2 linked regions of the Drosophila melanogaster genome follow. The protein of the gene in region 1 purifies or fractionates together with the protein of each later gene. This does not show direct contact. Each region holds a gene or a part of one and is shown in the gene's direction. Other genes may lie near its edges. The genes, in order: CG9799 and CG8064.

Region 1 (5,470 bases):
TTTTAAATTGGCAATTAATAAGTGTAGATTATAAATGTAAATGAGATCGGAAAAGTTTATTGTGATTGTTTGGCTTGTTAATTTATTTATTAATGTATAGTGTTACTAATATAATTTCGAATCCACTTGTATTTAATTTATTTTATTTAAGCTCTTGGGTGCTTTTAAATTAGGTTGACACTGCCTGACATATTTTCAATCTTTTTCAGAGGGATGCCAGGCCTACGGTCATGTGTGCTACGGTGGTCATGGCAAGCGCTCTCTGAGCCCCGGATCCGGGTCTGGAACGGGAGTGGGCGGGGGAATGGGCGAGGCAGCCTCCGGGGGGCAGGAACCGGACTATGTGCGTCCGAATGGCCTACTGCCCATGATGGCGCCAAATGAACAGGTGCCGCTCGAGGGCGACTTTAATGACTATCCCGCCCGTCAGGTGCTTTACAAAATCATGAAATCATGGGTAAGTGACCTTTATGTCCCGTTCTACATTTGGCAGCACTTAAAGATGAAAGTAGTCAGTTAAACACTCGTGATTGATTAAAATTACCCAGATTAAAACCAACTTAAAAATAGTTTAAATCTATTTGGATGTATTTTGCATACTTTTTCGGCGGCTTTTAATGCGATTTAAAACCATAGTTTTTTCCTTGATGAAAATATGAATTAGTTTGGGGATTCCTGGTTGAATGAAACGATTTGAATAGGATTGATTTTAACCCTTTTTACTATCGAATGTTTCCCCTTTTAGTTTAACCGACCTCGCCGACCCGCCTCTCGCCTGGGTGAACTTGATTATCCCTTGGCCAATTCCGCCGAATTGAATGGCGTGAACTAAGGCCGGAAAAGTTATCAATACAGAAATATCCACAACGTACATTAAAAACCGGAAATAAGCCTCAAAAACAAGAGCAACAACATCAAGAGATACAGTAACAGCAACAACAACAACATCAGCGACAACACATGAATTACTTATGAATGTTAATTACTTTCGCAACTTGTATAAAATGTTTGATAAATGTCTACACATACCAGGCAGTCAATTTTTATGCTAATTGCATAAGCATCGAACACATTAAAAAAAAACCCAACTGAAATTTTTAGGGGCTGGTAAGGATTTCAGTGTCAAAAAAAAAAAGGAGCAGACGACGAAAAATAAATCGAAGAAAACGGCAAAGACAGCGTGTTTCACTGTTCATATGTTAAATACATACGTATATTTTATTTATGTTTATTTACGAAGAAAGCGAAAGACTATATGTAGTTGTAATTTTATTTAACATACAAAATATATACATATTAACTTTGTAAACTGTGTATGTTAATCATTATAGGTGTATATGTATATTACGGCTGCGCAACACTAACAAATTGTTCCCAACAGTTTTATTTATAAAGAGATGCTTGTTTAAATATATAATAAAATGTGCTACAAAAGCATCCAAATTCAACGATTGTTGTTTTTTTGCATAATCTAATAGATTTAGGCAAACAAAATTTTCATCCCGAATCCTCCAATGAAACGAAAACTTTTTTTGGCTTCTAAATAATCAGAATTGATAAATAATCTATTTTTCTTCTAATTGTTCCAAATAATATTTGTAACTTACTTGAAAGCGCATACATAAATATTTCGTAACTTTTAGTTTGCAGTTTTTTGGGTTAAATGAAAATCGTTATTTTATTTTTGAAATAATCATTTGGCGCCAAAGTGTAATAAAATACGAATACCCCTTCTAAATTTCATTTAGTATATTTAACCATGGTTAGGTGAATTGTTTTCAAGCTCCGGTCACACTTCGCCACACGTGTTTTGGCAGTAAACATTTTCGGCATGTTGCGGAAATCGTTTATATTAGCTTAAAAAATCGATAAAAAGACAGAAAGAGACATTTCGGACAGTAAAATGACGCATCTGCGGTCGGAGGATAAGCCACAGTCGGAGGAGCGGAAGTCTGTGTTCAAGGAGAGCAGCTGCATCTTCCGGCGGAATCGAGCCCTCGGCTATGTGAGCAACCAGGTTCCAGCAGTCACCCGCTACGTGCAGCGTCGTCGGGACACTTTGCTGATCACCTGCATCGGCAGATCTTTTCAGGTGTACACCGCCAACCACTTTCGCCTGCTGCACGTTAGCGGATTGCATCCGGACGAGATTACGGCTCTGGCCACGGATCGACTGCACACGTACACGGCGAGCAACAAGTGTATCTACGCCTGGCGGGCGGGCAAACACATCCGGCACGTGTACCGTGGCCACCAGAAAGATGTCCACCTCCTGCTGCCTTTTGGTTCCAGTTTGATAGCCATCGATAGGCAGAATGTGTTAAAAGTGTGGAATATTTCAACCGAGGATGTCTATTTGGAAGTGCCCTTCCGGTCTGAGGAGTTCCAGATCACAGCTGTGACCCATCCGCCCACGTACATCAATAAAATAGTACTAGGCTCCCAGCAGGGCCAACTAAAGATCTTGAACATAAAGAAGAACAGTGTGGTGTGCACTTTGAGTCACCACGACAGCAGGATCACCTGCATTGAACCGTCCCCTGCTTTGGATGTCGTGGCCGTGGGACACGGGGATGGCACTATTATCTTGCTTAACCTTAAGTTCGACGAGGTGCTTATGAGCTTCCAGCAGGATTGGGGTCAGGTCACCAACCTTTCCTTCCGTACCGACGGCCCACCAATCCTTGTGTCCGCCTGCAGCAATGGTTACATGGCCTTCTGGAACCTGGAGGAGCGCAAGTTAGCCGGTCAGCTGCAAGCGCACGAGGAGTCGGTGACCACGGCCATTTGTCTGCCCAGCGAGCCCGTGGTCTTCACCACTTCACCAGACAATTCAATGAGGATGTTTGTTTTCGATATGCCAGATGGTGGTGCCAGACAGCTGAGGATCCGCGAGGGACACACAAAGCCGCCGTTTTGTATTCGCTACCACGGCAGCTCGGGCGTATCCATTCTCTCTTCGGGCGAGGACAGCACCATGAGAGTCTTCTCCACCATTTCCGAATCGCTGAACAAGAGCATGGGCAGGGCTACCTACAATCCAAAAGCCACAAAGAAGAAGAGTAAGTGTTTTGGCTTTTATTGCTCGCTTTAAAATATTTTTAATAGGCAACTCTTCTTTGCAGATCGCTTTGAGCACGATAAGTTTGGAATGCCACCCATACTGGAGTTCACATCGGATACGGCTCGCGAAAAGGAGTGGGATAACATCGCTGCCATCCATGCGGGCGTTATTCAGACGACAACCTGGTCGTTTGGCAAGAACCGTATGGGCGAGCACCGCCTGGTTCCGAAACAGTTCCAAAACAGCAACCGCACCAACTTCCAGAACGAGACCACATGCATTGTGCTGACGCACTGTGGCAACTTTGTGATCATTGGCTATAGCAGTGGCGACATTGAGCGCTTTAATATCCAGTCTGGACTCCATCGGGCTACCTATGGCTCTCCAGCCCACAAGATGGCAGTACGCGGCTTGGCCAGCGACAATCTTAACCAAACCGTCATCTCTGGCTGTTCGGAAGGCTTGCTCAAGTTCTGGTCATTCAAAGGAAAGGGTAAGGAATTGCCTACAACATAAGTTAATAAAACATTTGTAAAATCATACCATCCTTCAGTTGACAAGCCCTTAGCGACTCTACGCCTGGCAGATGGAATCGCCCTGATTCGACAGCACCGAGAGAGCTCCATGCTGGCCATTGGTCTGGAAACATTCAAGATTTTTGTCGTAGACATGCACACGAGGGTCATTGTTCGCAAGTTCGTCGGTCACACAGCCAAGCTGAATGACCTCACTTTCAGTCCGGATAGCCGCTGGCTGATCACCGCCGCCATGGACTCCACGATCAAGGTGTGGGACATACCTTCCTCCTACATGGTGGATCACTTCCGCGTCGAGGCGCCTTGCGTATCGTTAAGTATGTCGCCTAATGGCGACTTTCTGGCCACCGCACATGTTGGACTTTTGGGCATTTACCTGTGGGCCAACAAGACGCTGTTTAATCAGATTTCCCTGCGCTCCATCGATCCTTTGGAGCCGGCTCCGTACGTGGGATTGCCCACGAATGTGTGCGATGCCATGGAACTGGAAGATGGCATGAAGGAGCTAGAGATCGACGAAGAGGACGAGTCAAAACTCGGCGAGCTAGTTGACACCAAGTACGAAACTCCAACGCAGCTGTCCGAGGAACTGATAACGCTATCCGGGTTGGCTGCATCCCGTTGGCAGAATCTATTGGATTTGGAGCTAATCAAGCAACGTAACAAGCCCAAGGCACCACCAAAAGCTCCCAAACAGGCCCCATTCTTCCTGCCCACGGTTTCGGGACTGGAACTGCGCTTCGATGTGGAGAACGGTCAGAAGGAGGAGGATGAATCCCGGATTCGGAAGGCTTCTACTCTCAACAATCTTACTGCCTTTGGCCAGCTGCTGGAGGAAACTGCTGACTCCCTGGACTTCGCATCGGCTGTGGCGCACTTGACCCAACTAGGACCATCGATGGTTGACTTTGAGATCAAATCTCTGCACCCGGAGGCTGGAGGAACACTCCTTGCCATGCTGCAGTTCCTCAAACTCGTTAAGTTCATGTTTGGAACCAATCTGAACTTTGAGCTGGCTCAATCGTATCTAAGCGTCTTCTTGCGATCCCACGGTCTCGGGTTGACGGAGTTCCCGGATTTGGTAAAGGAGCTGCGCACTGTGTCCCAGGTGCAGCAGGAGGCTTGGCAGCGTGTGGAGGAGAAGCTCATCTATGGAACTGGAGTTGTGGCCGCTCTCCGAAACTTTGCGCACTAGTTTCCACCAGATTATGTTGTAGTTCATTTTGAAATTTTGTAAATAAATTTACAAAACATTTTACATTTTGAATTTGCTTTTGATGTTATTCCTTGCGACAGGCAGGTCCGCAGATTCATTTATAGGATGCTTTATAATCCTCAACAACTACAAAATCCCTCATTATATCCTTAACGATTTAATGGCATTACCATATATATCCCAAACTATCCTTATCTTTCTTTTTATCTTTTACTTATCCCAGATAGCATTTTAAATAATGTACTCAAGACGAAACTACTGCCATATGCCTGATATCTCCAATTGGCATTATTCGAATGATTCACACCTGCGGGTGACTATGCAGCGATTATGGAATCAATAGATAGCCGGAGGAAGGCAAGTGATACTGGAACTATGGGAAGAAGAATATACAGCATTTGGGTTGAAATTGTGTATTAATTATTTATTTGTTATATCCGTTTAAACTAACGCTTTTATTTATGCTGGAATTAAATAACTTAAACTTGTTCCTAGACGTGTTCGCTGGCGCGGACTTTAGATACGGTTCTAGTGGCGGCTAATTTCAATTTCAGTTTAGTTTAGTTTCAGTTTCCGTTTTCGATTCTTTGACAATCCAACGCAACATAAACATAAAGAAAAATGTTGGTTTACAAACAACCACGCGTTATAGAC
Region 2 (5,364 bases), 4.9 Mb from region 1:
ATGACGCCGACTCCGTGGACAACATCTGATTAACAAGAAACAAAGTGGCGCCGGGTGGGACGACGACGACGGCGGGAGCGTCTGGAACGTCTGTCTCGGCAGCAGCACCAGCAGAAGCGGAATCAGTTCGAGAATAGTAGGGAATTTAATCAATTGTAAAAAGCAGAAAGCCGGTAGCCCCGAGTCCTGTTCGAAGTCATAGCCAACATCCAATCTAATCCAATCCTAAACATTTATCCGGCATCCACAAAGCGGCGCAGCGGCAGTTAAATTGCGAAACCAAACCTATAGTATCAGTTCATTTATAGCCATTTTTAATGTTCTAATCTACTCTGAAATTGTTTTATTCCGAAAATCCAAATTGAAACGGTTTGATTTATGGCCGCCTTAAACAACAAATTATTAATTACAAATAGTAGAACTGTTACGCTGTGCAAGAAATGGAACATTGCGAAACATAAACTAATAATATTTGAATTAAAAACGAAAAAACAAAGAAAAACAAACGGATATTAGTTATTATTTATCTACCAACAAATCTATCCAACTAAATGAAAAAGTAAAAAAAAAAAATAAAAAACATAACGATATATTAATGAAATCTACAACTCATACACATAAAATAGGAGTTTAGCGAACACTAATATTTAAGGCAAAAGGATATATAATAATAATGATCAAAAGGCGAGATGTGAGGTTAGCTAGCGAGTAAGCAAAATCAAATCCATGAGTTTTCGCCAGATATATCTGCGCCCCATCCCCCCAAGTGTTCCTTTTCAGCGTTTCGTGTCATGTCTTTTGTTTTTATTATACACCTGCGTTATATTTTGATGGTTTTCCATATAGCAATATCCAAATCATTTTCCAAACGCCCCATTTTCTTTTTTGCTGTCCATGCATTCAGTTTTCCCTTTTCAGTTTAGTTGTAGTCTAATTCGAACCAAACAAAAAACAATGGATGTGTAAAAAGTGATGAGACTATTGATTTTTGTAATGAGTTGAACTCCAATAAATGGCGTTGATTAACCCGAATGCAAAACAGCACACGTTCCAAGGCTTTTTCACTTTTTGATAGTAAAATTCATGCTACAATTTATTATTAAATGCAGAAACTCGTACATAATTGTGTGTAAGCGGAAAACCGCCATCGAATTTGGCATCGTTTACAGCTCCTCGTGGCGCGAAGGGAACTTCTTGAGTATGGCATGGTAGAGACTGTAGAAGGCGTACACCGAAACCGTGATGATCACCAGCAGAGCTCCGCCGAACGCGATGCTCAGGAAGTTTCCATCGATGATGCCCGCCGAGCGGTGGCGCTTGGTGGAGAATATCTCCTCCGTGGTCGCCGGGTTGTTTTGCTGCTGGGACGTCCGCTCGGCCATCAGCCGCTTCATGGTGCTCAGCCGCTCCCGCAGAACTTCCACGGACTCGGTGTCCAGGTCAGAGGTTCCTAGAGCGATTTTGTTTACTTTCTGTTCTCATTAAAATGAATATATGTTATTAATACCTGTCGACTGGGATGCGGAAGCACTGGGATAGGTAGACATATTTGGATCTCTGTTCTGTGCTATTTGTGAAAAAACTGCAGCTTGAGCTGGCCAAAAACAGAGTTATCTTAAACGTTTTGGGGTGGGTTTGTTAGATTTTCGAGTTTTAAAAGCGCAGGCGCGTAACGGAAATCGCGCGGCGTTGCCACCCAATCGCGCTGCCAACTGCTTTGATTTGCGAAGAACAAATCGATAGAAACGGCTGGCAATCGATTGGGAACCATCTCCAAACACGTGAAACGCGATTTTTGATTTACCTTATGTGTTTTGAATGCTGCAATGGGTTTAACTAAACAATATTTGGCCTACCGGGCTATAGACAGCTTTAATATCATCACCTCCGGCCGCGCCAATGTGAACTTTGCCGTTGTGGACAAGACAGAGGGTCGATATGTGGCCGCTCCAGCTGCTGAAAATGTGATCGTGTGGGATTTGCGGTAAGGCTATTTAAGCTTTTCCTTTACTTCGTTTTTAAACTGACATGAATTTATATTTCCCCAGAATGGGCGATCGCAAGCTGACGCTGCGCCGCGAAAAGTTCGAGGTCACCTCCCTGAGGGTCTCGCCAGATCACCTGCACATTGCCGTTGGCTATGCGGATGGCATGGTGCAGATCTTCGATCTCAGCTCGGACAGGTACTACGATCCCATCTGTACGCTGGCACTCCACAAGAACGCTGTTAGCATCCTGCGGTACGATTTGCAGGGCATGCGTCTGGTGAGCGGAGGCCTGGACACCGAATTGGTGGTCGTCGATGTGGTGGAGCAGGCGGGAAGAGCTCGATTGAGTGGCCACAATGCCGCCATCACGGACGCCCATTTCCTGCAGCGTCTGGTAGACGAGAGCATAGTGGTAAGCTGTTCGAAGGACACGCAGATCAAGTTCTGGAACCTGGAGACGCAGTTCTGCTTCAAGACAATCGTGGATAACCGCACCGAAGTCTGGGCACTGGCCTTTATTGGGAATCTAATGGTAGCTGGCGCCGGCGAAAGCGGCATGAATGTCTACCGCCTGAGAAAGCACGACGGTGCCATCACTGAAACTCTGGAGTCTGCAGTTGAAGGCCTGTCTATTGATGACGAGGACACCATCAGCCCCATTAGCGTGAGCAACTGCGGCACCATCCAGCGCGCTGGAAAGGGCCGCACCGTCAACCTGGTGACCGATCCCAGTGAACGCGTGATCAGCTGCCACGGCACTAATGATCTAATCGAGAACTTCTACATCTGCACGCCGGACGAGGTAAAGAAACGACTGGCTAAGCGTCTAAAGAAGGAGAAAAAGGTCGCCGAAGATGAGGGATCAGACGAAGCAAAACTGTCCACGGAACAATCGCTGAGCGATGAAATCAAGCGACTGGAAAGCATTCGTGCCAAGCAAAAGATCAAGTCCATAGATGTGGTTTTGGGCCAGAACCAGGAGCTGCGTGTCCTTGTTAGTTTGGCCAACAACAGTCTGTGCTTGTACTCGCTGGAGGCGTCTATCAAAACGCGCAAAGCAACCGATCCCAGCGCGAAACTACTTAGGTCACTTACTCGTCTGGGGCACCAGTCCGAAGTGCGATCCGTATGCTTCAGCAACGATTCCCTGGCCATTGGTTCCGGAGCTGGAGAATCCTTTAAGTTCTGGGATCGAGATGCCATGCAGTGCCTGCGTACTGTGCCAACGGACTACATCCTCTGTTCGAAGTTTGTTCCCGGCGATCGCTACGTCCTTCTGGGCATGAAGAGTGGCAAATTGCTCATTGTGGACGTGGCAGCGGCTGATATAGTGGAGGAGATTCCGGCTCACGAAGGCGAACTTTGGTCCATTGCCATACTGCCCGATCAAAAGGGTTGCGTCACTGGCAGCGGCGATACCACGGTTAAGATCTGGACATTCGAGCTGATCGATGCCGGCGAGGGTGCTGCCCAAACCAAGGTGCTGTCCCTGCTGCACAAAAACACACTGAAGCTGGAGGAGACCGTGCTCTGTTTGGCCGTTAGTCCGGACATGAAGTACCTGGCTGTGGGCTTGTTGGACGCCACCGTGAAGGTTTTCTTCCTGGACACCTTTAAGTTCTACCTATCACTGTACGGCCACAAGTTACCTGTGATCTGCCTGGACATCTCCTACGACTCCAATCTCATTGTAACAGGATCAGCAGATCGTAACGTAAAAGTTTGGGGCTTAAATTTCGGAGACTGTCATCGTTCCATTTTTGCACACGACGATTCGGTAATGAGTGTACAGTTTATACCCAGGACGCACATGTTCTTCACGTGTGGAAAGGATGGAAAGGTGAAGCAGTGGGATGGCGATAACTTCGAGAAGATTCTTACCTTACCTGGACACATAGGCGAAGCGTATTGTCTGTCCGTTTCTCCGAATGGCCGATATTTGGTCACCTGCGGATCAGATCGAACTCTTAGAATGTTCGAGCGAACAGATGAGACTATTGTGTTGAAGGATGTGCAGGAGGAGGAGCGAGAGCAAATGGAGAATGAGCAACTGGCCACGGGCGAGGACAACACAGTTCCCTTGCTTCCGGGTCTGAAGATGCCGTCACGCAAAACAGTGGGTTCCGAGCAGTCTGCTGAATCGATACTCGAATGTCTGGAGATATCCAAACAGTTCGAGCTCGAGGCGGAGGAGAAACCCGAGTTACATCCTCTGATGCAGGCTTTGCAGGTTAAGAATCCCGAAGACTTCCTGGTCAGCACCCTGATGAGGATACGTGCGTCCGATCTGGAGGAGGCACTTCTTCTACTCCCCTTCTCCACTGTGTGCGAAGTCCTCGAACGCCTGCCCACTCTGCTGACCCAGCGACCCGACCAACTGGAGCTGCTTTGCCGCGTCACCATCTTCCTGTTCAAGGTGCACATGAAGCCCATTTCGGCGGCTAAGAACATGAAGCCGCTGCTCGTCAAGCTGCTCTCGATGCTCAAGCGGGACGTTGGTCAGCTGCGCGATGTCTTAGGATGGAACCTGCACGGTCTGGCCCTGCTGCAAACGGAAGTGGAGCAGCGCGATGGTGTCCAGCTCTTCAGGGAGGCCACACAGACCCGCAAGAAACGGGATAAGAAGCGGAGAGAAGCCAGCAAGCGGAGGCTGCAGATTCAAATGGTTTGAGACGCAATACCCTAGACTTAGTTGTATAAATCCAATTAAAACGATTAGTTATTCCGTGATTTACTGGATTTCTATATTTCTGTGAACAGAGTTTAATTTGACAATGAGGAATACACCATAATTCATAAGCCATGTATTGGATCACCGGCAATTTTCTGTATATGCATATGGGATTGACAAAATCGGATAAAAGCGATGGTGCAGCGAAGCAAACGGATAGCGCCGCTCGATTAATGGATGCAGTTCGCAAAGCGAACCCTTTGACAAGCATTTACAACAGAAAACAACATATCTCTTTAGAAGACGTGGACTGAAAGATTTAGCTTGAACATAAAACGTAGAACTCGGGATGAGCTTGGGAGACGGATTCTTCAGAGCAACCATAATGTATTTCCAGGCTAACAAATGCCGGCTTTGGGAAAGGTGCCATCGTTAGCGCCAGTTCCACAAGGACCTGTTTGGGATTATGCATTTTTTTTTATAAATGCTAGGAAGTAAATCTGGTGATAACCTACCTCCGCAGCGCTGGAAGGCACCTGGCGGTCCGTAGCTAAGTTTCTGGATGGTACACTTCTCAATAGGTCCGGTTGGCCGGCAGTAGGATGTGTACCTGGCCCACGGCAGTGGCTCCTTGGGCGGCACACAGTTCGGCAAGTAGCTGAGTTTGTATGTGGTGCACTTTTCCATGGGTCCCTCGTTCCGGCA

What was found.
Region 2: the proteins of CG9799 (region 1) and CG8064 purify together in Drosophila melanogaster (affinity purification with mass spectrometry, with the first as the bait; 2 studies listed by BioGRID). This does not show direct contact.

The regions. Positions count from the first base shown.
Region 1 is NT_033777.3:13,385,035-13,390,504, reverse strand, and holds CG9799 (uncharacterized protein), read left to right. Parts: upstream 1-1,795; 5' UTR 1,796-1,903; coding exon 1,904-3,062; intron 3,063-3,125; coding exon 3,126-3,557; intron 3,558-3,617; coding exon 3,618-4,795; 3' UTR 4,796-4,857; downstream 4,858-5,470. Other genes in the region: CCHa2 (CCHamide-2), read left to right, coding at 210-457, 746-832.
Region 2 is NT_033777.3:18,281,908-18,287,271, forward strand, and holds CG8064 (uncharacterized protein), read left to right. Parts: upstream 1-1,752; 5' UTR 1,753-1,826; coding exon 1,827-1,984; intron 1,985-2,048; coding exon 2,049-4,659; 3' UTR 4,660-4,717; downstream 4,718-5,364. Other genes in the region: eIF1A (eukaryotic translation initiation factor 1A), read left to right, coding at 1-29; CG14312 (uncharacterized protein), read right to left, coding at 1,164-1,450, 1,508-1,547; CG7131 (uncharacterized protein), read right to left, coding at 5,058-5,113, 5,175-5,364.